3 linked regions of the Oryctolagus cuniculus genome follow. The protein of the gene in region 1 interacts with the protein of each later gene in a pairwise test. Links are inferred from orthologs where the notes say so. Each region holds a gene or a part of one and is shown on either strand. Other genes may lie near its edges. The genes, in order: SKAP1, PRAM1 and EEIG1.

The links.
Region 2: the proteins of SKAP1 (region 1) and PRAM1 interact in binary tests that used the Homo sapiens proteins (3 or more experiments, as listed by UniProt). The two-hybrid records come from large-scale screens. The link is inferred for Oryctolagus cuniculus from reciprocal best matches to the Homo sapiens genes SKAP1 and PRAM1.
Region 3: the proteins of SKAP1 (region 1) and EEIG1 interact in binary tests that used the Homo sapiens proteins (3 or more experiments, as listed by UniProt). The two-hybrid records come from large-scale screens. The link is inferred for Oryctolagus cuniculus from reciprocal best matches to the Homo sapiens genes SKAP1 and EEIG1.

The regions. Positions count from the first base shown.
Region 1 is NC_091448.1:24,413,601-24,423,640, reverse strand, and holds the end of SKAP1 (src kinase-associated phosphoprotein 1), read left to right. Parts: intron 1-3,368; coding exon 3,369-3,470; 3' UTR 3,471-3,507; intron 3,508-5,548; 3' UTR 5,549-5,861; downstream 5,862-10,040. UniProt on the Homo sapiens protein: Positively regulates T-cell receptor signaling by enhancing the MAP kinase pathway. Required for optimal conjugation between T-cells and antigen-presenting cells by promoting the clustering of integrin ITGAL on the surface of T-cells.
Region 2 is NW_027208201.1:4,528,651-4,539,059, reverse strand, and holds the start of PRAM1 (PML-RARA-regulated adapter molecule 1), read left to right. Parts: upstream 1-3,871; 5' UTR 3,872-6,498; coding exon 6,499-6,501; intron 6,502-7,815; coding exon 7,816-9,100; intron 9,101-9,182; coding exon 9,183-9,237; intron 9,238-9,316; coding exon 9,317-9,417; intron 9,418-10,409. Other genes in the region: ZNF414 (zinc finger protein 414), read left to right, coding at 882-893, 1,211-1,493, 1,735-1,842, 1,933-2,038, 2,381-2,724, 2,808-2,858, 3,298-3,468, 3,570-3,643. UniProt on the Homo sapiens protein: May be involved in myeloid differentiation. May be involved in integrin signaling in neutrophils. Binds to PtdIns(4)P.
Region 3 is NC_091432.1:231,350,358-231,360,666, reverse strand, and holds part of EEIG1 (early estrogen-induced gene 1 protein), read left to right. Parts: intron 1-3,302; exon of another isoform or gene 3,303-3,547; intron 3,548-3,728; exon of another isoform or gene 3,729-4,006; intron 4,007-5,810; coding exon 5,811-5,931; intron 5,932-6,315; coding exon 6,316-6,345; intron 6,346-8,048; coding exon 8,049-8,165; intron 8,166-10,309. UniProt on the Homo sapiens protein: Key component of TNFSF11/RANKL- and TNF-induced osteoclastogenesis pathways, thereby mediates bone resorption in pathological bone loss conditions.

The sequences.
Region 1 (10,040 bases):
GTGAGAGCAGCTGTGGCTCATGGGCGTGGCTGAGACAAGTCCTGTTTTCCCAAGGGCTCGCCAGTGATTGACAGTCCTGGCCGGCGAGTGGGACCAAGTCATGCTGAGCCTTGTCTGTCTTGTCAGGAAGTTCAAAGGGGCGAGCATTTAACTCAGTGGTTAAGACAGCCACGTCCCACATGGGAGGCGCCTGGAGTTTGAAACCCGGCCCCAGCTCATGACTTCGGTTTCCTCCTCATGCGGACCCTGGAGGCAGCCATGATGGCTCAAGTAATTGGGTTCCTGCCACCCAGATAGGAGACCCGATTGCATTCCCAGCTCCTGGCTTCAGCCTGGCCCAAACATGGCATGGTGAGTATTTTGAGGATGGGAGTGAACTGTCTGTCTCTCCTTGTCTCTTTGTCTCTCAAATAAATCTTTTATTTTTTAAATTTTTTATTTTTTAAAATTTTTTTAAAGATTTATTTATTCATTTGAAAGTCAGAGTTACACAGAAAGGAAAGGCAGAGAGAAAGAGAGAGGGAGGTCTTCCATCCAATTGTTCACTCCCCAGATGGCCGCAATGGGCAGAACTGCGCCGATCCGAAGCCAGGAGCCAGGAGCCTCCTCTGGGTCTCCCATGCAGATGCAGGGGCCCAAGGACTTGAGCCATCCTCCACTGCTTTCCCAGGCCACAGCAGAGAGCTGGATCGGAAGTGGAGCAGCTGGGTCTCGAACCAGTGCTCATAGGGCATGCCAGCACTTCAGGCCAGGGTGTTAACCCGCTGTGCCACAGCGCTGCACCCTCAAATAAATTTTTTTAAAACCAAGAAGACTGTAGGAACCCACTGAAAGGATTCAAGCAAAGCAGTGATGTTATCAACGTGCATTTCAGAAAAGTTCTAGCTGCAGAATGAAGATGGGGAGTAAACAAGAATGCTGACTCAGAGAGCAGGTTTGGCAGTCCTCGGGAGAGCCGAGAGAGGACAATGACCCCGGGCATCGGTGAAGGGGGTGGAGAGCAGTGGGGAGATCCCATAAGGCTTTGGAAAGAGAATTTGCAGGGCTCCAGGGTTTACTGGGAAAGGCGGTGAAGCTGGGGGAAAAACTCCTGGGTTTCTGGCTTGAGTTACTGAGTTATACTGAGGAAGCAGCCACTCGCTGAGATGGAGAAAACAAGGGGTGAAGGTCGTCTGGAAGGGGAGATGGGGGTAGAGCAGATGGGGGGCACGTCGGGGACGTGCTGAGCCTGAGCTGCTTGGTGGACATGCTCTTGGATCTCGGGCCCCAAGCCCTGGGTCTGAGCCAGCCCTGGTCATGAGTCATTCGCACGGACGTGGAGCTTAAACCGCGGAGGTACATGCATCGCTAGAGGAAAGTGCGGCAGGTGACAGAGGAGGGCCAGGGCAGAAGCCTGGAAGACGAGCACAGCCGAAGCAGCGCGCAAGATGAGCCCACAAAGAATGAGAAGAAGCAACCAGGGAGGCAGAAGGGAGCCACGTCAGTACAGTCGTCATAGAAATTAAGAGAAGAAAATGCCTGAAGCAGGGTCAATAGTACCAGCACCGCTGAGAAATCAAGTAACTAAAGGACTGGAACGGACCGGAGGCTCCGAGCTGGGAGGAGACGGAGCGTCCGTGGGATGGTGGGAGCAGACGCCTGCTGAGAGCAGCCCGAAGAGCGAATGGAGAGGAAGGAAGGGGCAGCAAGTGGGCGCTCTCCAAGGCGTTGGCGAAGTGCAGTCGGCGAAGTCCAGCGGAAGGGGAACACACGTGCACTGCAGACTTTCACAGCCGCTTCCAAAGAGCTCAGAAGCTCAGACGGACTTCAGTGCGGATGGAAGGGGCCGTTACCACAGACCCCAGAGAACGCCGTCTCGAGAAGGAGAGGGGCGGGTCCCGTGGTGAGGGACAGCCTTGAACCAGGGCGGGGGCGCCTCCCCTCTTCAACAGGAGAGGGGCGCTGTCCGAGTCCTTGCTTTGGTGGCTGGAGGCTGGCGAATCTGACGGCCTGTTTTCTCTTGGCAGGTGGGGAAAAGGCACCTGCTGCCAGGGTGGGGGGCGGCAGAGCTGGAGGAGGGAGACACAAGGTCCCCAGTTGACGCAAGGGAGCCGGGGCCTCCTGGCTCTCCAACCTGCCTTTCGTGCCCTTCTTTTTCCTTCTACTAGAGCTCAGCAATTGTGCACAAGCAGTTAGTCCACCGTCCCTCAAGTCCAGTTCACCTGGAATGTACGTCCCGTTCGTCAAGTTCCGTGCTGATTTCCTGGAGCCCGATGGAGCTGCCCCCGTGTGCTGGGCGTTTGAGAAGCGCTCCCGTATTCAAGGAGCTCCTTCCTCAACCTCACGACCCCCCCTCAGCTCTCTTTTAAACCCTCGCTGGGGGCACTCCGTCCTTCCTGCCTGTCACTCTCAATGTCCCGCCTCTGTTTCTGCTTCAGCAATGTCACTTACACCCCCACAGCACGGGGGGGGCAGATTCCACCCTTGCTCCTACCCACCGAGGAAGGCAAGGCTGAGACAGCCTGAGGTCACGTGGCTCCTAAATGGCCCCGCAGGGATGGGCTCCCAGCCTGTCGGCCTCCAAAGCCCACTGTTCTATGCTGGGAGCTCCTGAGGGCCAAGCAGTGTTTGAGTTCATCAGCAGACCTCTCGCAGGAACCCCAACAGCACTTGCACGTAGAAGATGCTTGGGGGCCGGCGCCGCGGCTCACTAGGCTAATCCTCCGCCATGCGGCGCCGGCACACCGGGTTCTAGTCCCGTTCGGGGTGCCGGATTCTGTCCCGGTTGCCCCTCTTCCAGGCCAGCTCTCTGCTGTGGCCAGGGAGTGCAGTGGAGGATGGCCCAAGTGCTTGGGCCCTGCACCCCATGGGAGACCAGGAAAAGCACCTGGCTCCTGCCTTCGGATCAGCACGATGCGCTGGCCGCAGTGCGCCGTCCGCGGCGGCCATTGGAGGGTGAACCAACGGCAAAGGAAGACCTTTCTCTCTGTCTCTCTCTCTCACTGTCCACTCTGCCTGTCAAAAATTAAAAAAAAAAAAAAAAAAAAAAGAAGATGCTTGGTGAATAACAGTACTGATGTGAACTCTGAAATGACCTTCTGAATAGCGATAGTGTTCTCTGCACAGGGCCTACTCTTCTGTTTGGTTAAAAACATACAAAGCTCCTTAGGTTCAGCCATGGCGTCCAGTATGTTAAGTTTGTGATGTAGACAGGAAGCCAGCACCATGCAAACGTTTGCTCTCCCCTCCAGATGACGTCTGTGAATTGAATGATCCCCTCAGGGTATGCACTGTTCATACCGATGGTGCCAACTAAGGAGCCAATCACGGCAACAGATAGACAGGAGAAGGCCCGAACTCCAACTGAAACCGCCCTCTCTCCCCTCCAGGAGTACAACGTGTATGGCTGGTGGGTAGGAGAGCTCAACAGCCTCATTGGCATCGTTCCTAAGGAGTATCTCACCACGGCGTTTGACCCGGAGGAGAACTGAAGCCCAGGTTCCAGACCGTCATCCCTGAACCGCCCCGGTAGGCTGGAAACTGTCGGCCTGACTCACTTTCTCTGTGAGAGCTGGGGGGGGTGGGGGGGGTGGCTTTTCTCCGCTTTTCAGAAGCGATGCTCATGCTTCACCATTGAAAGAAAATGGGTCTGGAAGTGTTTTTTCCTGATTTGGGGACTGGGTCCACTAGGGTTAGGTTCCGCTAACAAATGACAGAAAATCTAAAATAAGAGGGACTTAATTAACACAGAAACTTTTTTCTCTCTCATCTATAAAACTCTAGAGGTGCAGGTCCCAGGTACCTTCTCTTTATGCTCCACTGTGCGTGCCCAACATTCTCAAGGTTACCTCATGGTCAATAAGGATGCTCCAGCTCCAGCTAACACATCCGCATCCTACCTAGCAAGAAAGAAAATTAAAGGAGAAGGGCATCTCCTTTCCCTTTAAGGACGTTTTTCAAATGTTGCGTGCCCCCCTCCACTTTTGCTCACATATTAGAACTTGGATCTGCAGACATACCACACTGCAAAGATGACTCTATTCTAAGTTTCCCTGTGCCCAGCTTAAAAGTGGGGGGTTCATTAGTACGTACGCAAAAAGAGAAGGATAGATATTGAAAAGCAAGTTGCCACAAACTCTGGGTTTCTGTGTCCCCAGACCTAGGGAACCATTTTGCTAAAACGGCCACACATTGCAACATGACTGGCCAAGATCAGGAAGCCAGGATGAGGGATGCTACAGGACATAATCATATTAACTTTGAAGTAATAAAGAATACGGTTTGTGTCTTATGAGCAAGAACCACACTATGTTTTAAAACAGTGGGAGTGAATGCTTGCTTTGGGCGCGATAACAGTAGGAGCCACTTTGGTGCAGAGTGGGTTTTGTTTAGGATTCAAATAGTGATGAAGGGCGCCCAAGACCGGCGCGATGTCTTGCGCTTCGTCTTCCAGCCGGAAGTGGGGGCAGCCCCTGTTGCTGGGGGCGAAGGATGACAGCCGTGTGGCAGTGATACAGAGCGTCCTTGGAGCCCTGCAGGCTGGGGCCCACGCCAGTGTGCAGCCACAGCTGAGTGAGTTCATTTAGGAGTGTACATAAGGATAGATCTTACTCTCCGGTGCCCTTGTACACCACGGAGTATCATCAGCCCGGGCCTGTTGCTCAAGGTTTGACTTTATGACTGTCCAAATGAGGGCTCTGCTTCCTGACCATGAAGGGAGAGGAGCTGGAATTTTTCTATCAAATCTAAACAGCTTCACCCTCCTTCACTCTGTCATTTGTTTAAAGTTGTTTATCTCTTTATTCTCCGTAGCCCAATAATTCTACTTGTAGGAGTTTCTCCTACAGCCATACTTGCACACATGTGAAATGCTATGCATAGAAGGCTACTTGTTTGTAGTAACAACTGATTGGAAATGGCCTAAATGTTCAAGTAATTGTAACACATTCATAAACTTGAATTCTATGCAAAAGTTTAAAAAAAAGAAATTATGAAATACATTCTGAGATATGTTAACAGCTTTAGAAAAAGGGGCCAGCGCTGTGGCATAGTGGGTAAAGCCGCCGCCTGCAGTGATGGCATCCCCTACTGAGTCCCGGCTCTCTGCCATGGCCTGGGAAAGCAATGGAAGATGGCCCAAGTGCTTGGGCCTGTGCACGCACTTGGGAGACCTGGAAGAGGCTCCAGGTTCCTGGCTTCGGATCGGCCCAGTTCTGGCCATTGTGGCCAACTGGGGAGTGAACCAGTGGATGGAAGCCCTCGCTCTCTGTCTCTGCCTCTGCCTCTGCCTCTCTGTAACTCTGCCTTTCAAATAAATAAATAGATCTTCTAAAAAAAAAAAAAGAGTAGGCTGAGTCTGCCCCATTTGGGAATGGAGGCTACACACACCTTTTTTTAATATATGTGTGAGCTGTTTCCAGAAGGAGAGAGAAAGGAGCATCGGTTGCCTTCAGGGACAGAAAAACTGCAGCACTAGGATGGTAACGACGGGAGACTTTCCACCCGATGTCCTTTTAGCCTTCTGTGTTTTGAATCATTAAAGCAAATGTATGCATCTCTCCCCCTTTAGGAAACATGTTCTTCTCTCTATCCTGCCTTTATAAAGAAACTGATCGAGAGCCTCAACTCCCGACCGCCAGCACCCCCTACGCCATCCAGAGACCCAAGGCACCTGGTGGTGACTGTCAACCCCCAGTGAGACGGTGGGGAAGCCACACCCCCCAGACCTGTTCCGAAACCAGCCTGGTGCTGACTCGGCCCCTCTCCACGCTGCTTCTCCACACGCCTGTGAAAAAGAAGGTGCAAGCCAAGCCCTAGGAGGAGAAGTTTCTTGTTGTTTTGGCTGATTTGAAAAGCACAAATAAACTTCAGGTTTTATTCTTTGCTGTGTGATGGTATTCAGTTCTGTTGTTGCTGTTGTTGTTGTATATGAGACGAAGACATTAAGGGAGCTCTCGTCCAGTGGTTCACTCCCCAGACGCCCACTGCGGCTGCGACTGAACCGTGTTGAAGTCAGGAGCGGGAACTCCCCCGGCTCTCCGTGGCTGGCAGGGACCTGAGCAGGTGAGCCATCACCTCTGTCTAGCAGGCTCTGCGTTAACAGGAAGCTGGAGTCAGGAGCCAGAGCCAGGGATGGAAGCCAGGCACTCTGACACGAGAAGCGGGCACCTTAACTACTAGGCCAGAAGACCCCGCTGAGTTCCTTTTTGTAATGGAATCAAAATGCTGTCTCTGGAAGTCTCACCACCGCCGAGCAAAGTGGGAGGGGACAGACAGACAGAAAACAGAAGCACAGGCCGGCACCGCGGCACAGTGGGCGAAGCTGCCACCTGCGACACTGGCATCCCATATCGGAGCGCTGGTTTGAGTCCCAGCTGCTCTGCTTCTGATCCAGCTCCCTCCTAATGCACCTGGGAAGGCAGCAGACGACGGCCAAGGACTCGGGCCCCTGCCACCCATTGGGAAACCGGGAGGGAGCTCCTGGCTGCAGACTGGCCCATCCTGAGCATTGCAGCCATTCTGGGAGAGAACCAAATGGAAGCTCTCCCTCCCCCCCCCCCTCTCACTCTTTCAAATAAATAAAATAAATCTTAAATAAAATAAATCAAAAAAGAAAAGCAAAGCCCAGAGAGAGCAGGACACTGGCAGTTGTTTCTCAGATCAGAATCCGCGCAGGAGCCCAGGCCTGCCGGTTTCCAGCTCGCATCTTGGGTTCCCTGTGGTTGGCTGTGGTTGGCTGCACAGCCGTGGGTTCTGCATGCGTGGACGCAAGCAACAGCAGATACAATCGTGTCTGTGTTGAACATGGGCAGCCTTCTTTCTTGCCATTATTCCCTACACAACAGAGAATAGCAACAGTCTACATTGTCTTCAACATTGTCAGTAATCTGGCAATGATTTAAAATAGACAGGGAGACGTGTGTAGGCTCTATTCAAATACTACAGCATTTTGTGTACGGGACTTGAACATCCACATGTTTTAGTAGCTGATGGGGGCCTTATGGGGAACCCATCCCCACTGATATCGAGGAGCAATTATTCTTATTTTTCAGAAGGATGTATTTATTTATTTATGTATCTGAAGGGGAAAGTGACAGAGAAAGAGAGAGCAATGGTCGGGCAGATTCAGGCCAAAACCAGGAGCCCAGAACTCCATCCGGGTCTCCTACGTGGGTGACAGGGGCGCAAGCACTTGGGCCATCATCCACTGCTTTCCCAGGTGCATTAGCAGGGGGTGCTGAATCAGAAGCAGAGCAGGGGCCAGCGCTGTGGCATAGCCGGTAAAGCCACCGCCTGCAGTGCCGGCATCCCATATGGGTGCCAGTTTGAGTCCCGGCTGCTCCACTTCCACTCCAGCTCTCTGCTGTGGCCTGAGAAAGGAGTAAAAGATGGCCCAAGCCTTTGGGCCCCTGCACCCGAGTGGGAGACCTGGAGGAAGCTCCTGGCTCCTGGCTTCAGATCGGCCCAGCTCCGGGAGTTTGGCCATTTGGGGAGTGAACCAGTAGATGGAAGACCTCTTCCTCTGTCTCTGCCTCTGCCTCTCTGTAACTCTTTCAAATAAATAAATCTTTAAAAGGAAGAAGCAGAGCAGCCAGGACTCGAACCGATGCTCCGATAGGGGCTACAGCAGCTCAGCTCACTGTGCCACAGCGCCAGCCCTTCCTTGATGGTTTCTTATGGACTGAATCTCCCTGAAACAAGAAAGAGCCAGTGGCCGGTGCTGCGGCTCACTAGGCTAATCCTCCGCCTTGCAGCGCCGGCACACCAGGTTCTAGTCCCGGTCGGGGCACCAGATTCTGCCCCGGTTGCCCCTCTTCCAGGCCAGCTCTCTGCTGTGGCCAGGGAGTGCAGTGGAGGATGGCCCAAGTCCTTGGGCCCTGCACCCCATGGGAGACCAGGAGAAGCACCTGGCTCCTGCTATCGGATCAGCGCGGTGCGCCGGCCGCAGCACGCCAGCCGCGGAGGCTATTGGAGGGTGAACCAACGGCAAAGGAAGACCTTTCTCTCTGTCTCTCTCTGACAGTGAGACCTTTCTCACTGTCCACTCTGCCTGTCAAAAAAAATAAATAAATAATAAAAGAAAGAAAGAAAAAAAGAGCCAGAGGCAAGGTCCTGGAGTCAGCACGTGAGTCAGCACGTTGGAGAGCTCCTCTCCAGGCCTTGGGTTGGTTAACTATCCCACTGTGTCCTGCGCCCCAGCTGGGGGCTGAGGGAGGCGTTTGAGGCAGGCTAGCGATCACAGGTCTCCCTGTTCCCCTCTCCTGTCGCCTGTTCCCGCCACTCAGGTCATCTGCATGCTGAAGACACAGCAAAACATGGCTAAGGATGGAGCTCCAGAACCAGACAGCCTGGGAATAAATCCCAGCTCCCAGATCACTGTGTTCTCTCGAGCCAGATGTTTGACCTTTTATGCCACAACTTCCTCACCTTAGAAGGGGCAGACCCTATCTCACTGAGTCACTAGGCAATAGGAAGAGCAAAGGATTCAATAGGTGTAACACTCTCGGAACAGTGCCAAGCAGAGTAACTGCTCAGTGAAGGTTAGCTGTTGTTACTGGCTGGCCCTCTCCACGAGAATTTTCCAAAGATACGCAACAGAGCAACGATCGAAACGTCACTGCAACACAAATGTCATTGCTGAAACCGCCTGCTCAGCGCGGTCCTGGATTGGTACTAAGCTTCCTCGTCTCTGTCGCAACCAAACTGAAGCCCTGGAGTAAGAACACATCTCCATCACTCCCAGAGGGAAACCAGGAAGCCAACAGGGGCATCCGTGGGCTCCAAGTCTCTCAATAAAGTATTTTATGTCAACTATTCATTTACAGATGTTCTGACCCAGGAGTTTCAAGAGGAAACCTTTTTTGTCTATGATGGATAAAGAGGTAAGGGAAAGGGACAATTTAGAACTGGGTCATGGGGGAAAAAGCAATACAGAAGTGTCCATAATGTCCCCTCCACTTTACATGGGTGCTACAGGAGAACGAACCACTAGGTGGCAGCATACGAGCAGATGAACCAAAGCGAACCAATAGCCTCCTGTGTTGGGAACCTCTGCACCAATCCCAGCCCACAGGTAGGGACAATGGGCATTGTTCTAAAGGGTTTAGCAGAGAGAGCAAACACAAACCCCTCTATGTCCCACACCCCATCCTTCCCTGGGGAAGTCCCAGGAACCCAAGTCTGGAAGGCCGAGATCCATGGTGTCCCTGCCCTATGCCTGGGACGCTAGAAAAGGGGATACCAGAAGAGGAAGAGTGGTATCTGGGGAGGGTGAAAACTGGATTCCAAAAGGAACAGGGTCAATGTAACTTCTTGGCTCTGAACAACACGGTCACTGGCTTCCAGCCTTTACAACAGAATCCCCGAGTGCCATGGCTTCTCTACCTGTGGACCACAAGAACCATTTACCAATGGCAGAGAGCTTTCAGCACCTCTGGGCACCAAAGGGTAAGCACTGCACTCAAACCTCTTGCCCTTCTAGCTGAAGGGGAAGAAACTAGCAGCGCTAAACAAATGGACTGATTGGGAATCTGGCCTGCAGCTGTCATGGCCGAGCTGACCTTGTTTACAATGCAAGAAAGGGTAGAGTGGGGTGGTGCTGTGGCATAAGTGGTTAAGCCATAGCCTGCGAGACCAGCATTCCATATGGGTGCCGGTTCAAGTCCCAGATGCTCCACTTCCAATCCAGCTCCCTGCTAATGCGCTTGGGAAAGCAGTGGAAGATGGCACGTGGGAGAAGCTCCTGGCTGCTGGCTTCAGCCTGGCCCAGTCCTGGCCATTGCAGCCATTTGAGCAGTGAACTACAGATGGAAGATTCTCTCTCCTCTCTCTAACAGAAAGCAAGGCTTTTGAGTTGCTTGGACTGTCTCCCTGTTCCCCTTTCCTGTCAAGGACATTGTTGGTGCAGAGTCCTCAAGGAGACCTTTGGATGCAGTGAATTCCTGCATTCCCTTGGAAACTTCACCCAGCAAATCTGCTCCCCTCTCAATCTGACAGCCACCGGCTTAGCCAACAGCCTCAGAGGGCAACTGGCTAATTAGATTACAGCTTCCCCGTTGGAC
Region 2 (10,409 bases), on another chromosome or scaffold:
CGGGGAGCTGGGGACCTGGAGTCTCCCCGCCTGGACCTGGAATTCCTCTACACGAATCCCTCTGGACAGTACTGGCCAATAGGGCTTTATCTACCAGAGCAGCAAGTGCCTCCGTGGGTCTGGTGATCAGATCCCTGCAGCGGCCCCCTAGGGGCCTCACCTCCGGGACCTCGGCACCTGGACCAAGACTAGCCTGAAGACGGGCACTTAAGCCACCAGCTCAGCGGACCCCTTCCAATTGCCAATTTCCCCGCAAGGAGGTGGCTCAATCCAGGAGAACCGCACTTTGCCGCCTTTGGAGGGTGGGTGGCGGGACGGGCCCGAAAGGATGTCCATTTTGCGCCGACGACACGGAGACCAGGAGGGACCCCCTCATCCCGATCGCCGGTTCTCCGCAAGGCGCCAACCGCGCTCGCCCACAGCGGCGACCTCGCGGCTGCCCAGGGTGAGCCCATCTCAGGCCCCGCCCCTCGCGGGGCGCCTCGCGCAGGCTCCGCTCCCCCGCTCTCGCGAGAGCTGGGATTCGGAAAATGGCGCCGACGTGAGCTCGAGGCCGCAGCGCCGAGGAAGTCGCTGCCTCCTCAGCCCGAGCCGCCGGAACCGCGAAAACGAGAGGCCGAGCCAGGTTGAGGATGGTGAGCGCGGCGCCGGGGGCGCGGGCGCGGCGGAGCAGCGGGAACCGACAGGGAGCGTCCCTGCCAAGCACACACCCTCCGACCGACCCCGCCCCCACATCCGGGCACCAGCCCGCAGCTGGCTGTCACTCGGCAATCGCCCTACCCCTACTTCCGGGCCTGGTTTCGACACGGCCACGCCCACAGGGCTCGGGCTCCGCCCCTCTACTAGGCATATCCGGGCCCTCAGCTGCTCCACGTCCGTCTATGCAGCCCGAGGTTGGCGGGGCCTGTCTCCATCCTCAAACAATCCGCTTCTGGCCTCTCCAGCATCTTGCCTAGGGTTGTCCAGTCCAGAACCCCGCCTTCAAAGCCGCGGCCCCACCCCCTCCTGGGCCACGCCCTTTCCCTGCCTTAGGAATTGGGGATGTGTCTCATGGGCACAATTACCCCCACCCTGTCTTGTAGGTGCCTCCTTAGAATGGGGGTGCCAGGGTGACTTCTAGGTGGGGAAGGGGGTTCCAGAAATGTCCGGGCCTCGTGGGACAGGTTCCCTGGGGCGCACAGGAGCTCCCTCCCCCTCTTCCTTCCACCAGGAGGAGGAACCGTCGGGGCCCGGCCCGGACATACCGGCCACTGCAGAGCCCAGCTCCAGTGACACCGACAAGGAGGTGTTGGCCCCGGTGGTGGCAGCCACTGCCTCCACCTCCATGGAGGAGGCGCCGGGCCCCGACCGGGCAGCTACGCCCCCAGTGTGGCCCGCAGGGACACAGCAGGGTGCCTCCCCAGCCTCAGAGCCTGGACCCAGCCCTGGTCCAGCCGGCACAGCCCCGGGGACCAGTGAGGAGCTGCGGCCTCCCAGACGACGCCCAGCACCAGGTGACCTGTGATGGGGCCTTCTGGGAAGCCACGGGCCTGGGAACCACTGGAGTGAGGAATGCAGACGTGGGACGTTGGGGTCCAGCTGGTCTGCCCGAGGGATGCTTTTGCCCATGGACCAAGCACCAGCCAGGCCGTGTACCCTCTGGCGGCCCAGTATGGTGGAGGGGCGGGGCGGTGGGGTGGCTGGTGGTGTCCCTGGGAAAGGGACCGCTGACCACCCAGTCCTGTCATCCTGCAGGGAAGCAGATACCCTGCTCGAGCCCTGGCTGCTGCCTCAGTTTCCCCAGCGTTCGGGACCTGGCACAGCATCTTCGTACGCACTGCCCCCCCCCACAGTCCTTGGAAGGTAGGGCCAGGGTAGGTGCTCAGGAGGCCGGCAGGGCCCACCCCTCCGGGGGGCCAGCCTCAGCCACCCCTCTGCCCTCCGTCCCTCCAGGCAAGCTCTTCCGCTGCTCTGCCCCGAGCTGCACCGAGAGCTTCCCCAGCATGCAGGAGCTGGTGGCGCACAGCAAGCTGCACTACAAGCCCAACCGCTACTTCAAGTGAGAGCCTCACCCAGCCCGGGGTCGAGGGCCAGGCCCCTCGCCCTCCCCGCTTAGTGCCAAGGTGGAGGAGATGGGCGTGGCCTCGGGCGAGTCCCGCCCGTCTGAGCTGCCCATGAGAGAGAAAGGGCGGAGCATGCGTGGTTGGAAAACGCACCCCCTAACTTAAAATTGAGACCTCCTTCCGCGTGTTGCCAGGGCTCCAAGTCTGGAGGGGTCGCGGCTGTCGTGGGCGGGAGGTGCTTGGCGAAGCCCGGCGCCTGCAAGTGGGGGCCCTTCGCACGCTCCCAGAGCGAGTCCCCGGGTGGCACAGGGTGGCACACACGCACCTTATCACCGCAGGTGCGAAAACTGCCTCCTGCGCTTCCGCACGCACCGCTCGCTCTTCAAGCACCTGCATGTCTGCGCAGAGCATGCGCAGAGCCCCGCCCCGCCGCCGCCCCCGGCCCTGGACAAGGAGCCCCCAGCGCCTGAGCGGCCCCAGGAGCCTGACCCCGCGTCGGCGCCGGGCCTGCAGTTCCCGCTGCTCGAGCCCTTCACGACCCCCGCCCCGGCCCCCAGCGGGCCTTTCCTACCCTACTTGAACCCCGCGCCCTTCGGCCTAAGCCCCCCACGCCTGCGCCCCTTCCTGGCTGCGGCGCCCGGGCCACCGGCCTCCAGCGCTGCCGTCTGGAAAAAGAGCCAAGGTGAGTGTCGGGGGCGCGGCCTCCTGCAGGGAGCGGCGGGCTGGACTCCCCCTGACTGGACCTGACCCGCCCCTTTATCGCAGGTGCTGGCGGCAGCCCCCGAAGACCCCAGGGCGGCTCCGATGCGCCCTCAGGTGCGTGCAGGTGACCACCAGGGAGGGTTGGCGGGGCTTTCCTTCCTGCGCCCTGCAGGGGCAGTGCAAACTGGCAGGCATCTGTGCCCGTCCCGTTCCCAGGTGGCTAAAAAATGCCACCCCGAAATACAGGATTTTGCCTTAAAAACCACTGGCACCTGCGCCTTCCTCTGCGCCGGCGTTCCCGTGTGAAACTCGCGCCCGCCCAATCACCGTGGAGCGCTCCTTTCCCCACCTGCGAGGGTTCGTGGGCGCAGGGGCCGCGGATAAGCCGAGTTTACGGCGGTGATGACGGGCGGGAGAAACGGATCCAGCTAGGCCTGGCCGCCTGCGCACGGGAGCTGATGGGGAAGCGAGGAAAAGTCCAAGCCGCCGCCCGCGTCCGCCGCCCCCGGGCTAGGGTCGCGGGACTGATAGGGTCCCGCCTGCCTGCCCGCAGGGCACGCGGCTCCGGGCCGCATCGTGTGGGAGCACACGCGCGGCCGCTACTCATGCATGCAGTGCGCCTTCTCCACGGCCTCGCGGTCTGCCATGACCCTGCACCTGGAGGACCACCGCCCTGGCGCCCCCGCGGCCCAGGCGTCCGGGCCGCGCCCCGACGCCTCAGCGGGTAAGGCCAGGGGACAGCGCCGCTGCAGAGGGCGGGGGGCACAGGGGTGAGGCGAAGCCGAGGCTCACGCGCTTCCTTCTCCCCTTTCCCCCCCACCCCAGACCCGGCCCCGCTTGCACCCAGTGCGTCGCCGCTGCTGTCAGAGGGGGAGCTGCCAGTCTTCTCGCCTCTTTGATCCGGGCTGAGATGGGGGGCGGGCGGCGGAGTTGAAGAGTTTTGTGATTTGAGGTGGGGGACAATAAAAGAGGCGCGATAAGCCAGCCTGTGCTGTGTCTGGGTCCCTTGCCCTCTAGTGCACACGGGGCCAAAGCCCAGCAGCCCAAGAGCTCCCCCCCCCCCATCAGCTCACGCCGGTCGCACAGAAACAGGGCCTGTCCCTCAGCCAAGCCATGTCGCATGTTCCCTGTCGCCTCTGTCCTGGGACCTGGGACCCAGGTCTCCAGTGCACTGCCACCCTATCCCTGGGTGGGGTCGAATTCTCAAGTTGTTGGGAGTGGGGAACCGGCATTTGGCAAAGCAGTGAAGTTCCCCACCTCCCTTGTAGGAGTGTCTGGGTCCCAGCTCTGCTGCTCACCGCAGCTCCCGGGAGGCAGTCCGAGCTCACCTGCTCGGGTCCCCACCACCCACAAGGGAGACCTAGATGGAGTTCCCCGTTCCTGGCTTCAGGAACTGCAGGCATTTGGGAAGTGCGAACCCCCAGATGGGGCATAGCTCTTCTCTCCCCCCCACTCGATCTCTCTGCCTTCCAAAGAAATTAATATTTTAACATTTCTGGGGCATCCGTGGGGGTGGGGGCTGTCTGCAGTGCTGGGGTCCCAGGCGACCCTCCTTGCTGCCTGGGCTCCCGCTTCATGGACGCCCGGTCTGAGTCCACCTCTACCCCATCCATTTTGAGAAGTCACACTGGGGTCATCCTGTTACCGCAACCCAGAGCGTCTTTCCCCTATGGCACTGCACCGGGTCAGGGCCTGGCTGCCCTGTCCTTACCCCTCCCCGCTCATGCCGGACCTCTGCCTGCTCCCCTGCAAGCCTGAATGCCCCCCGGTCCCCTGCAGTCCCGCGCCCCCCAACCCTCCCTCTGGACAAAGCTGTGACCTTTGTCAGAGAGGGGCTCCGAGAGCATCAGGACCCGAAGCAGAGTCCTCCTAAGTGGGGTTTGAGTTCCGCCCGGCAGGGGGCGCCCGGGAGTGTCTGAGGGGCGAACCCGTGAGTCTGGCGACCTGTCAGGCGCCCACCTGCGCAGGTGCAGAAGCAAGTGGGCCCGAGATCGGAGGCTCCCACTGACCACGGTGAGCCGCAGCAGGCGTTTTGGCCTGGGTTGAGGCACGGCCAGATGCCCGTGCAGCAGCCGGCAGTGCCCACACCAGCGGGTTACCCTGACCGCGGATCCTGGCCCGAGCACCCGCATCCCGGGCTCCCGACTTCTCGTGCTCAGCCCTCCCACGCCGCAGATTCCCACAGCGGCGCGCTGAGGACTCCCACTCCCCCAAGGCGGACCCTGGCCCAAGCTCAGTTCTTCCAGCTTCTGGTTCTGCGGCTCCGCGTAAAGGCACCAAAAACACAAAGGGGAATGTGGTGGACGCGCCCCCTGGCGGCTGGCGGCCGCCCCTGCAGACGGCGCAGGGCTCCATGCCTGCTTCCTGGGCATCCAAACTGCGCTGCTCTGTGCTGGGGGCGTCCACATGGATCCTGGGGAGTCAGCTGGCAGTCAGGCGTTTAGCCTGCCATCACTGAGCGCCTACTGTATGCTCCTGACCATTACCAGACCTCCTGAGAATCCAGTTCCCAGGGGAACCCACATCTGGGAACTGTGACCCAGCCACGGGCCCCCGAGTGGCTGTTTAGCTGCGCACTGCAATCTCCCAATGCGGTTTCTAACAACCCCGGTCCAGGCCCCGCCCCAGACCAGAAACTGGAAGTTCTGCTGTTTCCTAAGCTGCGCAGGCGATTTCCACGCATGACCACACAGGATCCAGGAGGGTGCTTTCCAGCCTTCCTCCCCGGGACAGGGCCCAGGTTCCTCCAGCCTCCCAGGGGCCGTCCTACCTTGCTTTCCTCCCAATTACTGCCTTCTGGATCCTTCCTTCTGCATTACCTTCCATCTCAGGGAACTTGGAATGTCCCTGCTCCCCCATGGGCGAGTTCTTGGACATCATGGCCCCGCCCCACCCCCAACACACACCCCTAAATCTGCGGTCCCCCAGCCGCCAGCCCAGCAAATCTGTCCCAAGAACAGGGAAGTTCTTGGCTTGCAAAGATGTGTTGAAAAGAGGAAGGTGTATTAGGCAAGACGAGCAGGCAGCTGAGGCCTCACCCATCATACAGGGACCATCCCCCTCCTCACTGGATGCCCCGACCCCTGGCCTTCCGGCCTCAGCTGGCCTGGGGGCAGCAAGTCCCCAGGAGCTCCCACTGGAAGCAAGGAGGCAGCAGAAAGACCAGGGACAGAACGTTCCAGTTGGCGGACATGCCAGTTACCCTGACCTGATCATCGCACATTGCACACGTGGATTGAGACACCACGTACTACCCCACAGATATGTGCAATCATGTGCCAATTAAAAATGTAAAACAGAATCGGGCATTTGGGCCCGCATCCCCCGTGGCAGTGCCTGGGTTCGAGTCCCAGCTCTGCTCCCAATTCCAGCTCCCTGCTAATGCACACCCTGGGAAGTACCTGGGTCTCTGCCACTCCCATGGGAGACCCGGATGGAGTTCCTGGCTCCTGGCTTTGGCCTGGCTGTTGCTTGCATTTGGAGAGTGAACAGGTGAATGAAAGATCCCTGTCTCTCTGTCATTCTGCTTTTAAAGTAAAAATGAAAATAAAGAGGACTGTGATATGAATGTGCTGATTCCATGCACTGAGCAAGGAGGTCAGGGTGGCTGGGGACAGGCCGGGCGGGGCCGTCTCCGCCTCCTTTCCTTCTTCCTCTGCCCTCCCCACCTTGTGTGCTGGCCTGGGGAGCAGAAGCCACAGGCACTTCCTGAAGGCAGCAGCCTGGTGCCCCGGCCCATCACCAGCCTGCAGACATGGTGAGTCCCCCAGCCCCGGGGCAGAGGCTGGGGAGGAAGGGGCACAGCAGGTGGAAACTGGAGGCAGGGGTTCCAAGAGCAGAGACGCGAAGCGGGTGCTAGGGAAAGAGGTCGGGGGACACAGGAATAGTCGGGCGGGGAGCCCCCGAGACAGGAGCCCGGGCTGCGGCTGTGACTTCAGGGCGGCAGCCGGCCTTTCCCCAGCTCAGCCTCAGTTGACAACATGGGAACAGGCAGCGACAGAGGGAGCAGAGCTTCCTGTGGGGTGACTAAGCGGGTCAGGCACCCCCACTCCTCCCCGCTTCTGCCGACCCTGACTCGGGGAGCCCTGTGGTCACCAGCAGGCCTTGACTTAAGCCCCCAGGCAGGACTCACTTTTCCCAGGGACACGCCTGATCCCGAGTGAGGCAAACCAGGCCAGTTACTGCCCTTCCTCTCCCCACTGCTTTGGCCCGGAGGGAAGCCAGCCTCCGAGGCCTAGTTCTGTGAGCCCAGGTGTGGGGTCATCTGAGAGGGTCCCCGGGGCATCCGAGACGACCCCAGGTGGTGGGAGTCCTGTGGACAACGAGCATCCCTTGGACGCCCGTAGGTGTGACCGGAGTGTGCCTGTGTTTGTGGCTGAGTTCCCACCACAGCCCCAGGGACTGGCCCTGCGGACACCCTGAGGATGCTCAGGTCCCTTCTATAGACGGCATGGGGTTTGCACAGAAGCCATGCGCACCCATGCACCCACGTAGCAGAATATCTACTGGGCTGTGAACGCCTAGTGAGCGGCCATGCTGTGCTGCTAAGCACAGCGGCCAAAACTTTGTGGGGGTGGGCGGGCAGGGCTCGGATTCCAGCAGCTGCACGCGCACAGCGCACAGCCCGTGGACATCCTTGTGGAGGAAAACTGGCCGGGGATGCTGGGGGGAGGGTCTGGCGCTGCAGGCCAGGAAAGATCCTGGCAGTGGGGACAGTTCCTCCCGCCATCCATGGTGAAAGCGGTGAGAAGTGGTTAGCTACGGGATGTATTTCAAAACTGGAACAGAAGGGACTGGGCCCGCGGGGGGTGAAGGACTAGGGGGTCCAGGAGGATGCTCTGAAGGCACCTCCCACCTGCTGGAGGTGAGTGGGGGCAGGCCCAGTGCCTAGGTGCACCAGTCAGTAGGGTGTGGTTGGTCTCCAGGAGCCTGGGGGGAGGGGGCGATCTCAGCCCAAATGGACAATAGAGCCAGGGCCAAGGACAGTAGTGTGGGGGTGGGGCTGCGTGCCCCTGACCTTTAACTCTTCCTTGGGTGCCCACCTCGGCCTGACTGGCCTCATGGCCCCCAGGGGAGCCAGCAGGACTTCCGCAGCCTCCAAGCCAGGTTCCAGGCCTCTCAGCCCCAGCCCAGTGAACACCCCAGAAAACCGCCGAAGCCTGACTTCAACAAACTGAAGAAGTTTCCACCGCCTGAGCCAAGCGAGCATCCCAGGAAACCCCCGCAGCCCAAGTTCGCCAACCCCCCCAGGAAGCCCCCGCAGCCTGAGTTCGCAGACCCCCCCAGGAAGCCCCCGCAGCCCGAGTTCGCAGACCCCCCCAGAAAGCCCCCACAGCCCGAGTTCGCAGACCCCCCCAGGAAGCCCCCACAGCCCGAGTTCGCAGACCCCCCCAGGAAGCCCCCGCAGCCCGAGTTCGCAGACCCCCCCAGGAAGCCCCCGCAGCCCGAGTTCGCAGACCCCCCTAGGAAGCCCCCGCAGCCCGAGTTCAGTGATGTCTCCAAGAATTTCTCACAGCTAGACAGGAAGTCCCCGCAGCCCAAGGTCGGTGAGAGCCCTCTGAAGTCCTCCCAGCCGCAGCCCATCAACCCTGCCAGGCCCCTCTCAGAACCCAAATTCAGCACCTTTCCCAAGAAGCCCCCGCAGCCTCAGGTCACCAGCCTCCCTCCAAAGCAGCCGCCGCAGCCCGAGGTCAGTGGTGTTCTTCAGACGCAGGAGGCCCAAGAGCCCCGGCCCCGCTCCCCGCGGCCAGACTTCTTCACGTTTCCCAAGAAGCCCTTGCAGCCTGGGCTTGGGGACCTCTCCAGGACATCGTCGGAGCCCGAGGTCAGCGTGCTGCCCAAGAGGCCGCAGCAGCCCGAGCTCAGAGTGCCTTCCACAAAGCCCCCGCAGCCCAGGCTGGACAGCCTCTCCAGGACATCCTCGGAACCCGAGTTCTGCTCGCTGCCCAGGAAGTGTCTGCACCCACCACGGCCAGGGGGCCCCCGCAAGCTCTCCCAGCCGGAGCCCAGCGCTGCGTCCAGGCAGCACCTGCAGCCCGACTTCCTCACTGCACTCCCCAGGAAGCCTGCGCTCCCAGGCTCCGTCTCCGAGAGCTCGCTGCCCACGGCCATTGCTGGCTCCTGTCCCCAGTTCCCGCTCAGCAGCCCTGGGCTTGGAGTCCCTGGGATACCCCGCTGGGGGTCTGGAGACCTCGCTCACAAGGGAGGGTCAAGGTCAGGCCTCAGGGCCAGCCACCCACCCCGGAGGAGGCCTCTGCCTCCTGCCAGCAGCCTGGGACCCCCTCCAGCCAAGCCCCCGCTGCCCCCAGGCCCGATGGACATCCAGAGCTTTCGGAGACCATCAGTTGCAGCCACAGGTGGGTGAGGGTGGGCAGCCCCAGCAGAGGGGCTGAGGGTCCCAGGCAGCTCCTCCTCCCTCCTGCACCCTCTCTCCCACAGATCTCCAGAGGACAGGCTCTCCTGCTGGGACCCGTTTCCGGGCAGACACCAAGCTGTAAGTGTGGGGAAGGGCCCAGGTGCGGGCTGCAAGGCTGGAGCAGGTCCTCAGCCCAGCTGCCCATCCATCCCTGCAGGGAGCCCGAGTACATCTACGAGCTTTACGACAACGTGGAGCCTGCCGACCTCACCGGCCCGGGCCCCAGGTCAAACCACAGGCCAGACACACCAGCTGCTGGTGAGTGGGACCTGTGTGAGGAAGGGAAGCCTGGGGACAACAGGCAGGGGGTGGCCCGGGTGGCGCAGGAGCCGGGATGGCAGCAGAACGAAGCAAACGGGACCTGGTGGCGACTCAGGCAAGGCACGGGTGGGTCCCTGCGTGCAGTGGGAACACGCTGGGCTGGGGACAGCAGGCGTTCCTGAGATGCCTGTGGGGATGTCCAGGCGGGACAGGGGCTGAAGGCAGGTGGGGCTGTGGTGGGCCCAGTATGCAGGCTGCTCTCACCGCTCTCTGGCCAGGCCCCTGGGCGCTCCTGCCTTCCTGGGGTTCTCTCTCTTCCAAGTCTCTGCTCACACAGGCACAACCCCACGTCAAGGCCGCATCATAGAAGTGCATGTCTGGGAATGTGGCAAGTGCCTGGCCATGGGCCACCCAGCTGGGGCAGATATGGCGTGGGGAAAGGCTTCCTGCCGGGGAATCACCAGGCAGAAGAGGCCCTGGCAGGGAACCTGGGCCCCTTCTGCTCCACCGGGTTAGCACATAGCTTCCTGGCAGCACCCCTGCTGCCTCCTCGCCGGGGGGAGTCTCTGTGGCTTGGGTCTGGGGGCTGCAGACTGCAGTCATGGCCTGCCTCAGGCCCACACCACCTCCTTCCCAACCCCACAGTACCCCATGCTCCTGCCCTTTCTCCCCACTCCCATCAAACACCACACTTGCCTGGGTCTTGGCTCGTGGCGCTGCCCGGGCCTCGCTGTGGGCACACAGTCTCAAAGCCTGCTCTGCCCTCTGCCATGTCCATCCTTCCCCTGGCACGTGGGGCCAGGACCCCCAGCCTCCCCTCAACCCCCAGCACTCAGCAGTTCCAGCAGGGACTGAGCAGGCCGCTCAGGTCTGTCCTGCAGTGCAGACCCGGGGGCAGCTCTTCGCTGCGTGCATGGGTTCTGCAGGGCCCTTGGGGTGCCTGGGTGACCACCCACACAACAGGGCCAGCTGAGGCAAGAGCAGTGGAG
Region 3 (10,309 bases), on another chromosome or scaffold:
GCCAAAGGAAGCACCGTGCATGGCCTTCAAGGCCTCTTTGGTTGCCAGGAGCCTGCTAGGCTGTGTCCTCGACCAGGGTGGCCACTTACCAAGGGTGCTGCCCTGCTGCTCTGGGGCTCTGGGCCCCTGTCTGCTTGTTGAGGAAATGGGCGTGGCCAGGTGCTGGGGCACCTGTGACCGCCCCAGGAGCTGTTCTGACTGCTGAGTAGTGAGATGAGCCCATGCCCAGCAGCAGGCCCTGAGGGAGGACACAGCGCTGGCCCCGTACTGCCCCGTTCTGCCCAGCTCCGGGGAAACCAGGCTGACACAGAGGAGATGCGATCCTGTCCTTGAGGTGTGCTGTGAGCACACCAGGGGTAGGCACATGGCCCTCGGCTTCCCCAGGTGCCTCAGTACCCCGTCCTGGTCAGCTCAGCCCCCCGCAGCTTCTCGGCCTTTCTTGGGGCCCTCTGCTTCCTTCCTTCTGACTCCTCCCCTGGATGGCTCCGCTACCACAACACCCTCCTCCTGCGCTCCTAGCTCTGACATCACTGCCCCCTGCCCACCCCCACTAGGGGGCCCTTCCAGGAGGTTTGCTCGCACTTCCTGTGACCCTGAGCCAGCGCCCAGACCCTGGCTGTATCATGATGGCCTGTCTGGGCCAGGCCAGAGGGTGGCCCCAGCACTGGGCTGGCCTTGCTGGGGTGAGGAGGAGCCCAGCCTAGTTGGGGGGAGTGGCCCGCTGTATTTCAGGGCTGCATGAAAATAGCTGGACTCTCCTTGGTGACAGCCACTGCGGCTGCCGTGGTAGAGGGCCTGCCCTACCTCGCTGGCTTCGCACGTCTAATTGTACATCTTGAAGCTAAAAACGGAACCCAGGCTCTGTAATTACCTGTCCCCAGCCCTGGGGAGCCAGGGGAGCACGCCCTGCAGTCCCAGGCCAGGGAGGAACGGACACGGGCGCACTCTGCCAGCAGCTCCCGTGCCCCACGGTAACCCCGCAGGCGGTGCCTGGGGAGGCCGCGGGCTGGAGCCTTGGCTTAGGGTAGCTTTTCCTGGTCGCCAGCACCTAAGCGCTCTCCTGTTTCTACTTCAATTCTGAGTATAGAGACAACTCCCACCCCCGCATCAGAGCCTCGGCGAGCCTGCCCTCGGCCTCACCCAGGGTGAGAAGCCTCCTGCCGGAACCCGGGGGTCTTGGCCTCCTGGGCACAGACTGTCGCCCCCTCTGGGCTTGAGGGTTCTGCCATCTGGCCCGGGGCCTGGCCTGTTTTCCTAGTGAACACCTTATCCACGGTTTTCTTCAGGGCTGCTCGAGTGTTGTAGATTTTCCACACTCCCCTCTTTCTGGGACGGGTGGCTCCTGGGCCTCTGGTCATCCCCCCCTCCCTGGGGTCTCGTGGTGCTGGGGTGGCCTCTGTGCTCCCCAGGGACTGTTCCCCAGAATGGCCTTCCAGCCTCTCCCCACATTGCCATCCCCAGGACTGGTAGGCCAGTTAATTCTCTTGGCTTGGCCGACTTTAAAAGAAATTAAAAAGCAACTGATACTTGGACCAGGGAGAGAAAAAAGGAGGTAATGTTTCCTCTCCCCACCCACGCGTCTCTGTCCTCCCTCCTCTGTCTCCAGGAGCCCCAGCCACCACGGGCCCTGGCGGGTGGTGACTCGGGCACCTCCCGTGTCCCCTGTGCACCTGCACGCTCGCGGCTGCCACTGTTTTATTTCAGGAGACGCGTGGTCCTGTCGGAGGTCCCCGCCCACGTCTGTCCTGTGGCCTGGGGGGCGGTCTCTGACCCTTCTTTGGGCAGCTGCCCTCGGTGCTGTTGGGCGGCCCCCGTTACACATCGGGGTTGTGCTCGTTTTTGCCCAGGTGTCACCACTCCTTTTGTGGCCACACGCACACGTGGACACCTGTGGCTGCTGGCACCTCCACACGGGCCCTTGTGAGTTTGGGCCAAGACTCCTCTCCAGCCCCCTCCCCCCGCAACTCCCTGCTCCAGCCACACCAGCCCTGTGCCCTCCTTCACCTGTGAGTGCGTGCCCGCCTCAGGGCCTTTGCACGTGCCCCGATGGCTCTTCCCCGGGTGTCCGTGTGGCTCACCCTCCCTCCCCCAGTGTTCTGTTCCCATGTCACCTTTCCATTAAGCTCTTCCCTGGCCGCCCGAGCAGTGCCTACCCCCTTCCCCACTTCCTTCTCGCAGTGCTGGGCCTTTGCCGCCTCTCAGCCGAGTGCAGCCTGCTGTCCGTGTGGTTGACCGCTGCCGTCCAGGGCGCCTTCAGCAGTTCTGGCGTGTGGAGGGGCTGAGTTAAAGGTGTTGAGAGTCAGGTCCCTGGGATGGCCTGGCCAGCTTCCAGCCCGGGGCTCCAGCTGACCGGCCGCCCCCCCTCTTAGGCGCGTCCCTCACCTGGCCCTGGCCCCAGGCCCGTGTTCATCTGCCCTCAGCTCCACCCTCTGCTCGGGACCCAGCTTCCTCTGTGGGAGCGCTGGCTGTGAGGGGAGGCGGTGTGGGCTCAGGGAAGGGGCGGGACAGCCGTGCTGCCGCGGGCGAGCTTGGCAGCGTGTGTGAGCCGTGGTGGCAGCCACCGTGGGAAGTGGCCACTGTGCTGGTATGTATTTGGCCCGGGCTGCTGCTGTGTCCTGTGGGAGCGGTGACACGGAGCAGGTGACAGTTGAGAGCCCTATGGGAACTGGAGTGCAGCCCGTGCCCATCCTCCAGCCCTGCCCTGCTCACTTCCCCAGGGGGAGGGAACCCGCCCGTCACCTGAGCCCGGGAGGGCTCCATGTGGCTGTCTCTGCCCGGCCCGGCCTAGCAGGGCGGACAGGAACCACAAATGGGCCCGGGCTTCCTGGTCGGCCATTCCCACAGCAGCCTCCGAGGGGCGGGAGGAAGCCCCAGCGCACTCTGGGCTTCTGTTCACAGACTCCCGTCCTAATCCCTGGTGTGTCAACACGCCCGGAACACACAGCTTCCTCCTCGGCTCTCCATGGCTGCTGCCGGCTCTGGGAGGGGTGGGGGGAGGGGCTGGGGGTCCACATGGACTCCACAGCCACCCCCAGTTTTCTCCCCTCTCCAGCTTTGCCCCTCTGTCTGCAGCCTCTGTGGTTGCTCGTGGCTTCTGCCTAAGTTGCAGTCCATGGAGACAGTCGAGCCCTCTCAGATCCAGCGTCCGCCCTGAGGCTCCTGAGGCCCGTAGACCCGGCCCCTGCTGCTCACCCGGCCCCTGCCCTCCGCTCTCCCCAGGTGCCTTCTGCTGGTTTTCCATTTGCCGAGTGTGTCTGCCCCCAGGCCCTTCACCTTTTCTGTCCACTCCTCCAGCGTTTTCCTTTTTTTTTTTTTTTAAGATTTATTTATTTATTTGAAAGAGTTACACAGAGGAGAGGCAGAGAGAGAGAGAGAGAGAGAGAGAGAGGTCTTCCATCCGCTGGTTCACTCCCCAAGTGGCCACAGTGGCTGGAGCTGAGCCGATTCAAAGCCAGGAGTCAGGAGCTTCTTCCAGGTCTCTCATGTGAGTGCAGGGGCCCAAGCACTTGGGCCATCCTCCACTGCTTTCCCAGGCCTCAGCAGAGAGCTGGATTGGAAGAGGAGCAGCCGGAACATGAGCCGGCACTCATGGGATGCCGGGGCCACAGGCGGAGGCTTAGCCCACCGCGCGCGGCACAGCGCCTGTCCCATCCGGCCACTCTCGCCCCAGGACTTCTCTCCACGCCTCGCTCAGATGTCAGTGCCTTGACGCCGTCCCGTCCACTCACCTGAAGCAGTGGCTATCGCCTCTTCATCCCTGCCTGGCACTCCCTGCCCTTGCTCTCCATTTTCCTGTGTATCTGTCCTCCACGTAGTTTTGAAGGCAAAAGAGGAGTCGTTTCATTGTGACAGAGGTCACCTTCCAGCCCGCACGGTGTACAGTCCAGGGGGTCGTCAGTCCATCCGCAGAGCGGCCACCATCCCCACAGTCAGTGTTTAGGACCTGTTGTTAGGCCAGAGAGGCGTCCTGTGCCGTTAACCACCCTGCCCGCCCCCGGCAGCCGCCGCCCTCCTCTGCCCTGTGGCTCTGCACGCCCTGGGCGTGTCGTGGAAACACCTGACCTAGCACAGCGCCTCTTGGAGGTTGATCACATGTGGCACCCGTGGCTGCCTGGGCTCTTGTCCGGACACTGCTCCGTGGTGTGGCTGGACCACGTTGTGTTTAGCTGGTCCCCAGCTGGTAGACATCGGGCTGCTTTTCCTTCAGGCTGCTATGGGAACTCGGATGTGTGTGGTGTGAGTTGTGGTGTTCCCCTGAGAGTGGAATTGGTGGGTCACGTGGCAGCTGTGTTTAGTGGTTTCCACACAGACACGGGTAGGTGCCTTGGGCACCCAGCTGGTCCCACGCCCTCCGCGCGGTGCACCTGCCAGGCTCTCCCAGGCCCCAGGACTGTGTGAGTGGAGATACTGGCTGAGAGTTTTGCGTTGAGTCAGACAGTCCTGGCTCCCATCCTGCTTTTTCAGCCCGTAGGAGCGTGATGGGGGTCAGGGGCGGGGGTCTCTCGGCCCCTCTGCCCTCAGCTGTAGAAGAGGCTGCCTTGAGAAGCAAACACGCTGTCATTGGGGAGGTGACCGTGGCTCCCTCCAACCTCAGCCCCAGTCTGGCGGTTAACCCGCACTCCCGGGTCACCCTGGGTTAGAGAAGTCACTTCCCGAGCTGTCCAGTTGGGTGGGATGAGCTGGGGACGAGGCCTCTCACACAGCCCCTCCCTTCCTGAGCTGTTCTGTCAGGCAGGCCGCGGGGGGCCGGGGAGCTGCTGCCCGGGATCCCACCTCCCACAGCTGCTGGGAGAGGATTGCGTAGCCTCTCACACCCACTCCAGGGCACAGCAGGCCTCGTGTTAAAGGGGCTAAAGGGTGCCGAGTTTTCCAGTGTGGTGGTGCTCCGTGCCCAGGTGGGACTTGGGGGAAGCCAGGGCCCCGCTTTGCTGTCTGAGCACCCAGAGCCAGGCTGCCTGGGATCAGCCCTGCGGTGGGCGCAGGCAAGGCTCGCGGCCCCCAGAGCCCTGGGTTCTCCAGCCGGGGTCGGGCTGCTGCGGGAGGCTGCCGTGGGCCCCCAGAGCCCTGGGTTCTCCAGCCGGGGTCGGGCTGCTGCGGGAGGCTGCCGTGGGCCCCCAGAGCCCTGGGTTCTCCAGCCGGGATCGGGCTGCTGCGGGAAGCTGCAGGGTCCATGAGGCAGGCTCTGCTGCTGGCTTTTCTGAAGCTGTAGAACAGCTCGTGGACCATGGGGCCTGGACGCCTGGCCTGCAGGACCCGTGGATGGGCGGGTCCAGCAGTGTCCAGCTACAGGCCTAGGGCACCACCCACGCCTGTCGGGAAAGCACCATGTGCGCGGTGGCTGCTGGAACTGTGATGAAGAACTAGGGTTCGGGCCCAGCCCCGCCGTTGGCTGGCTGCCTGCAGCTGGGGAGTTCGCCTGCCTCAGTCTTTTCATCTGCACAATGGGCTGATAGGAATCAGCCTGGGAGGACTCCCAGGGTCCCCGAGATGAAGGTGGAAGGAAGCACCCGAGGTCACAGCAGAGTTGGGGGAGGGGCAGTGCTGGGCGCAGAGGTTGGGGGCTCCCAGGAGGTGCCGCTGCCCCAGGCCTGCGGTCCTCCCTGACTCCCCCGTGGCTTCCGCTTCTCAGTACCTCTGCTGTGTTTTACAACCACAGAAGCACAGCTCTGTGAGAAAGCAGTCCCTTTACGTCACAGAGTGAGGCGAGAGCCCCTCTTCCCTGGTTCCTGCAGGTGCCGGGCCCCTGCCCTGTCGCTCACCCAGGGGCCCACGCACTGACCACGCCGTGCCCGTCCCCCTCTGGCCTGCAGGGAGGAGGTGCAGGAGAACTGTGTCCGGTGGCGGAAGAGGTTCACCTTCGTGTGTAAGATGAGCGCCAACCCGGCCACAGGCCTGCTGGATCCCTGCGTCTGCCGCGTGTCCGTGCGCAAGGTGAGCGGTGGCGGGTGTGGGTCCTCCCCATGTAGGATGGAGGAAGGCGCTCTGCCCCACTCCGTTCTTAAGACTGTTTGAAGTGCAGAGGACAGAGACAGGCTTCCATCCCTGGTTCACTCCCCAGATGCCCAGAACGGGGCCCGGGGCTCCCACCTGGGTGGCAGGGCCCCGTGTTCCCAGCTGCGTCAGCGGGGCGCTCAGTTGGGAGCAGAGCAGCCGGACTCGAGCTGGTGCCCGCGTGGGACGCCGGCTGCGCCGCAGGGCCGGCTCCTCTGCCCCTGTCTTGTCCTCACCAGCACTCGTATCTGGGAGGACCGGGGACACCCTGAGGTCTCTGGATTCCCTGGTCACCTTGTCGCTTGTGTCTCCCTCCCCGTGCAGGAGCTGAAAGGCGGGAAGGCTTACTCCAAGGTAAGAGGGGCCCTGAGGGGCGGCCCAGGTCAGGCAGGGCAGTAGTTTCTAGAGTGTGTGGCTTCCTCTGCCCCCGCAGGACACAGCCCTGCCTGAGCTGTATCCCTCTCTGGAAGTCTCACAAGGCAGCGTGTGCTTGTCGCCACACAGGCGGGGTCCCCAGGCGCTGCGTTCCGCGCCCTCCTCCGCCAGGCCCCCGTGGGACCCCTCCATCGGCATCGCTTAGGGATTTCCCGTCGTACACACGGAGTGGTGCTTTCGAGCGCCGTAGGAGGCGCGCCTTGTGGTTGCCCTCGTGTGCACGGGCGGGTGGTGACTTCGTAAGATGCGCAGATGCGCGATTCCTGCAGCGGGCTTTTCCCACCTGTCACGTGACGGGCGCCTCTCGTGCAGGCAGATTGCCGTGTGCACATGCTGAGGGCAGCCACGGCCCCCCCTTGCGTGGCTGGTGACAGCGCCGGCTCAGCCAGGCCCACCGTGGGTTTGCACACACACACACAGACGGCTCAGCCCACACTGTCAACCTCTTCCCCGGGTGCTGGCTGTGAGGACGCCCGCCCTGCGGAGGACAGGAAGTGCCTCAGTCTCACCTCCTGCTCCGCTGCTCTGCGGGGACGCCTGGGGCGGTGCTGCCCAGGGTGGCACCCTTCCTAGTGACCCCAGTGGCCCCAGCTCAGGCGCCGGGCTGGGCTACGCCCTCTGCCCCAGGCCATAGAGCTGTCACAGTGGAGAGCGCCCTTCCTGGTGGCTGAGGTAGGGGAAGGCGGCCGAGAGAAGCTGCCAGCAAACAGCCAGGGCCTCCCCGGCTGGCACTGACTAGCACCTAGCACACTTCAGACCCCGCTGCCCCCCACCCCCGCCACTCTGTTCTGCACGAGAGCCCCCGGCACAGGCCCTGCTGGCCCTGGACCCTGAGCAGGAAATCGAGGCCCCGGGAGGTGGCAGGCGTGGCCCGTGTCAGTTCTGGTTCTGCCAGTTAAGTCGGGTCACTTGCCCTGCCTCACCGTGAAGGGGAGGTCCCTCTGTGAGCAGGGGCGGGGCTGGGGTCCGAATCTACTCCCAGGCACCAGGAAGCATCCCGCAGGGCCCAAGCCTGGCACTCCCCACCTCTGCTGTTTCCCCTGTGAGTCTGACCAGCTTGGCTGCGTCCTGGGTTTCCTCCCTGTCCTGGCTCCTCTCCTGGACGCAGTGTCAGCAGCAGCCTGAGTCCCCGACGGCCTGTCCAGATGTCGGCTCCGCCCACCAGATCCTCACTCCCACCTCCTCCAAGGGATGACCCTGGGGTGCCCGCCTGCCCGGCCAAGTGTCCCTTCCCCTCTACTCCCGGAGCCCCCTCCGTGGGGCGTCCCCTCGCCCCTGCCCGCCATCAGGTTCCCACAGGCCTTCCCTCCTCCCCGCCTGCTCCACAGCACGGCCTTGTTTCCTGGGGAACAATGCGTCTGTGTCACAGACAACAATGTCTTTTCATGTCAGGCGTGCTGGCCCCGGTGCACACTGGGACGCGGCACAAAGGCTGCTTTGTGCGGCTCAGGGATGTGAGCTCCTGGCTTTGCCACGTTGCGACCCGGGCCTCTGTCCTTGGGTCCTGGTTATGCAACAGTCAGTCTCAGTCAGGGCTGTGGGCGGGCCCAGGAGCTTTGCCGAGTTAACCCTCTGGGGCACCTGCCAGCCCTGCACCCACGCTGTCCTCCCCCTCCCCCCAGCTGGGCTTCGCAGACTTGAACCTGGCCGAGTTTGCAGGCTCGGGCTCCACGGTGCGCTGCTGCCTCCTGGAGGGCTACGACACCAAGAACACGCGCCAGGACAACTCCATCCTCAAGGTACCCGGGACCTGCTGACCCGGCTGCTGGGGCTGACAGACGGGCTCTCACCTGCACAGGCAGTGAGAGACACTGCAGGTGTGGCCGGGCGCCTGCCTCAGTTTCCCCACCCGTGGTCGGGGTGGACGCCATCATACCGTCCGGGTTTGGCGTGCACTTCCTGCGGGATCACAGAGTGCTGAAGACTTGTCTCACCTCGTGACCCCCAGCAGCCTGAGGGGTGTGGTGTCTTAGTAGCCCCATGAGACACCTGGATCAGGTTCATGGCCTTGGGTCACGAGCAGAGCTGGCACTTACCTCCAAGCCGTTTGACTCGGTGGCCTGGCCTCACGTGACACAGGCCGCCTGGCCCCTGGCAGCAGCAGCAAGTGGAGGAACCTGCCCTCCCAGACCTGGGTGTGCATGGGCGGCTGCCCGCCCTGCTGGCCACGTGCAGGTTTCCGGTGGCGGAGGCAGCCCCCGTGCCCCAGGCAGCGGCCTCTCTGGCCTCTTGGCAGCAGAGGTGTCTGGGTGGCTACAGCCAGAACACCTCACTTCCTCTGTCTGTGTGCCCTTCCCTGGTGGGGAAAACAGGCTATGGAGACAAGACCTCTAAGCAGAAGCAGTGCAGGGCCGCAGGGCCACGGGCCCAGGGCCTCTGTGACCCTCTGCAGAGAGAACTGGAGGCACCAGAAAAGCCCAGGCCGGTGGCACTGAGCCGCAGCACCTGTCCGCCTCCCCGCGCTGGGCCCACGCACCCTTAGCCAGGCCAGACCCCGGGGCCTGTGGGTCAGGGGGTTTCGGAGGCGAGGCCGGCTGCCCTGTGTCCTGCCGCAGGGTCCTGAGCAGTTGCTTCCGCTTCCTTGTTCTCCACGTGGGGCCGGCACTGCTCTGCGGCGGCTGTCCAGGCCAAGAAGCGATGCATAGAAAGCCTCCTACCCCCCCCGCCCCCCCGGCTGCTCCGTTTCCGGTGCAGCTCCCCGGATGGCCTGGGAAGGCAGCAGAAGATGGCCCAAGTGCCTAGGCCCCTGCACCAGTAGGGAGACCCCAGATGGTGTTTCAGGCTCCTGGCTTTGGCCTGGCCCTGGCCCAGCTATTGTGGCTGAACCAGAAGATGGGAGATCTCTATCTATTTATCCCTCTTTCCTTCTTTTTTTTTTTTTTTTTTTGACAGGCAGAGTGGACGGTGAGAGAGAGAGAGACAGAGAGAAAGGTCTTCCTTTGCTGTTGGTTCACCCTCCAATGGCCGCCACGGCCGGCGCGTTGTGGCCGGCGCACCGCGCTGATCCGATGGCAGGAGCCAGGTACTTATCCTGGTCTCCCATGGGGTGCAGGGCCCAAGCACTTGGGCCATCCTCCACTGCACTCCCGGGCCACAGCAGAGAGCTGGCCTGGAAGAGGGGCAACCGGGACAGAATCCGGCGCCCCGACCGGGACTAGAACCCGGTGTGCCGGCGCCGCAAGGCGGAGGATTAGCCTAGTGAGCCGCGGCGCCGGCCCCCTCTTTCCTTCTGTAACTCTGTCTTTCAAATAAACCTTAAAACAAAAGGCAAGGGGCTGGCGCTGTGGCACAGTGGGTTGAAGCCCTGGCCTGAAGTGCCGGCATCCCGTATGGGCACCGGTTCCAGTCCCAGCTGCTCCACTTCCGATCCAGCTCTCTGCTATGGCCTGGGAAAGCAGTAGAAGATGGCCCAAGTCCTTGGGCCCCTGCACCCCCCTAACTTCTTTTATTGAGATTTATTTGAAAGTCAGTTACACAGAGAAGGAGAGGCAGACAGAGGTCTTCCTCTGGTTCACTCCCCAGGTGGCCACAACAGCCGGAGCTGCGCCGATCTGAAGCCAGGAGCCAGGAGCTTCCTCCTGGTCTCCCATGCGAGTGCAGGGGCTCAAGCACTTGGGCCATCCTCCACTGCTTTCCCAGGCCACAGCAGAGAGCTGGATCGAAAGTGGAGCAGCCGGGACTCGAACTGGCACCCATATGGGATGCCGGCACTGCAGGTGGCAGCTTTACCCACTACGCCACAGTGCTGCCCACCCCCCTCTTTTCTTTTTAATGACATATTTATTTGAGAGAGATCTTCTGTCCCCTGGTTCACTCTTCAAATGGCTGCAATAACCAGGGCTAAGCCAGGCTGAACCCAGGAGCTAGAAACTCTGTCTTGGTC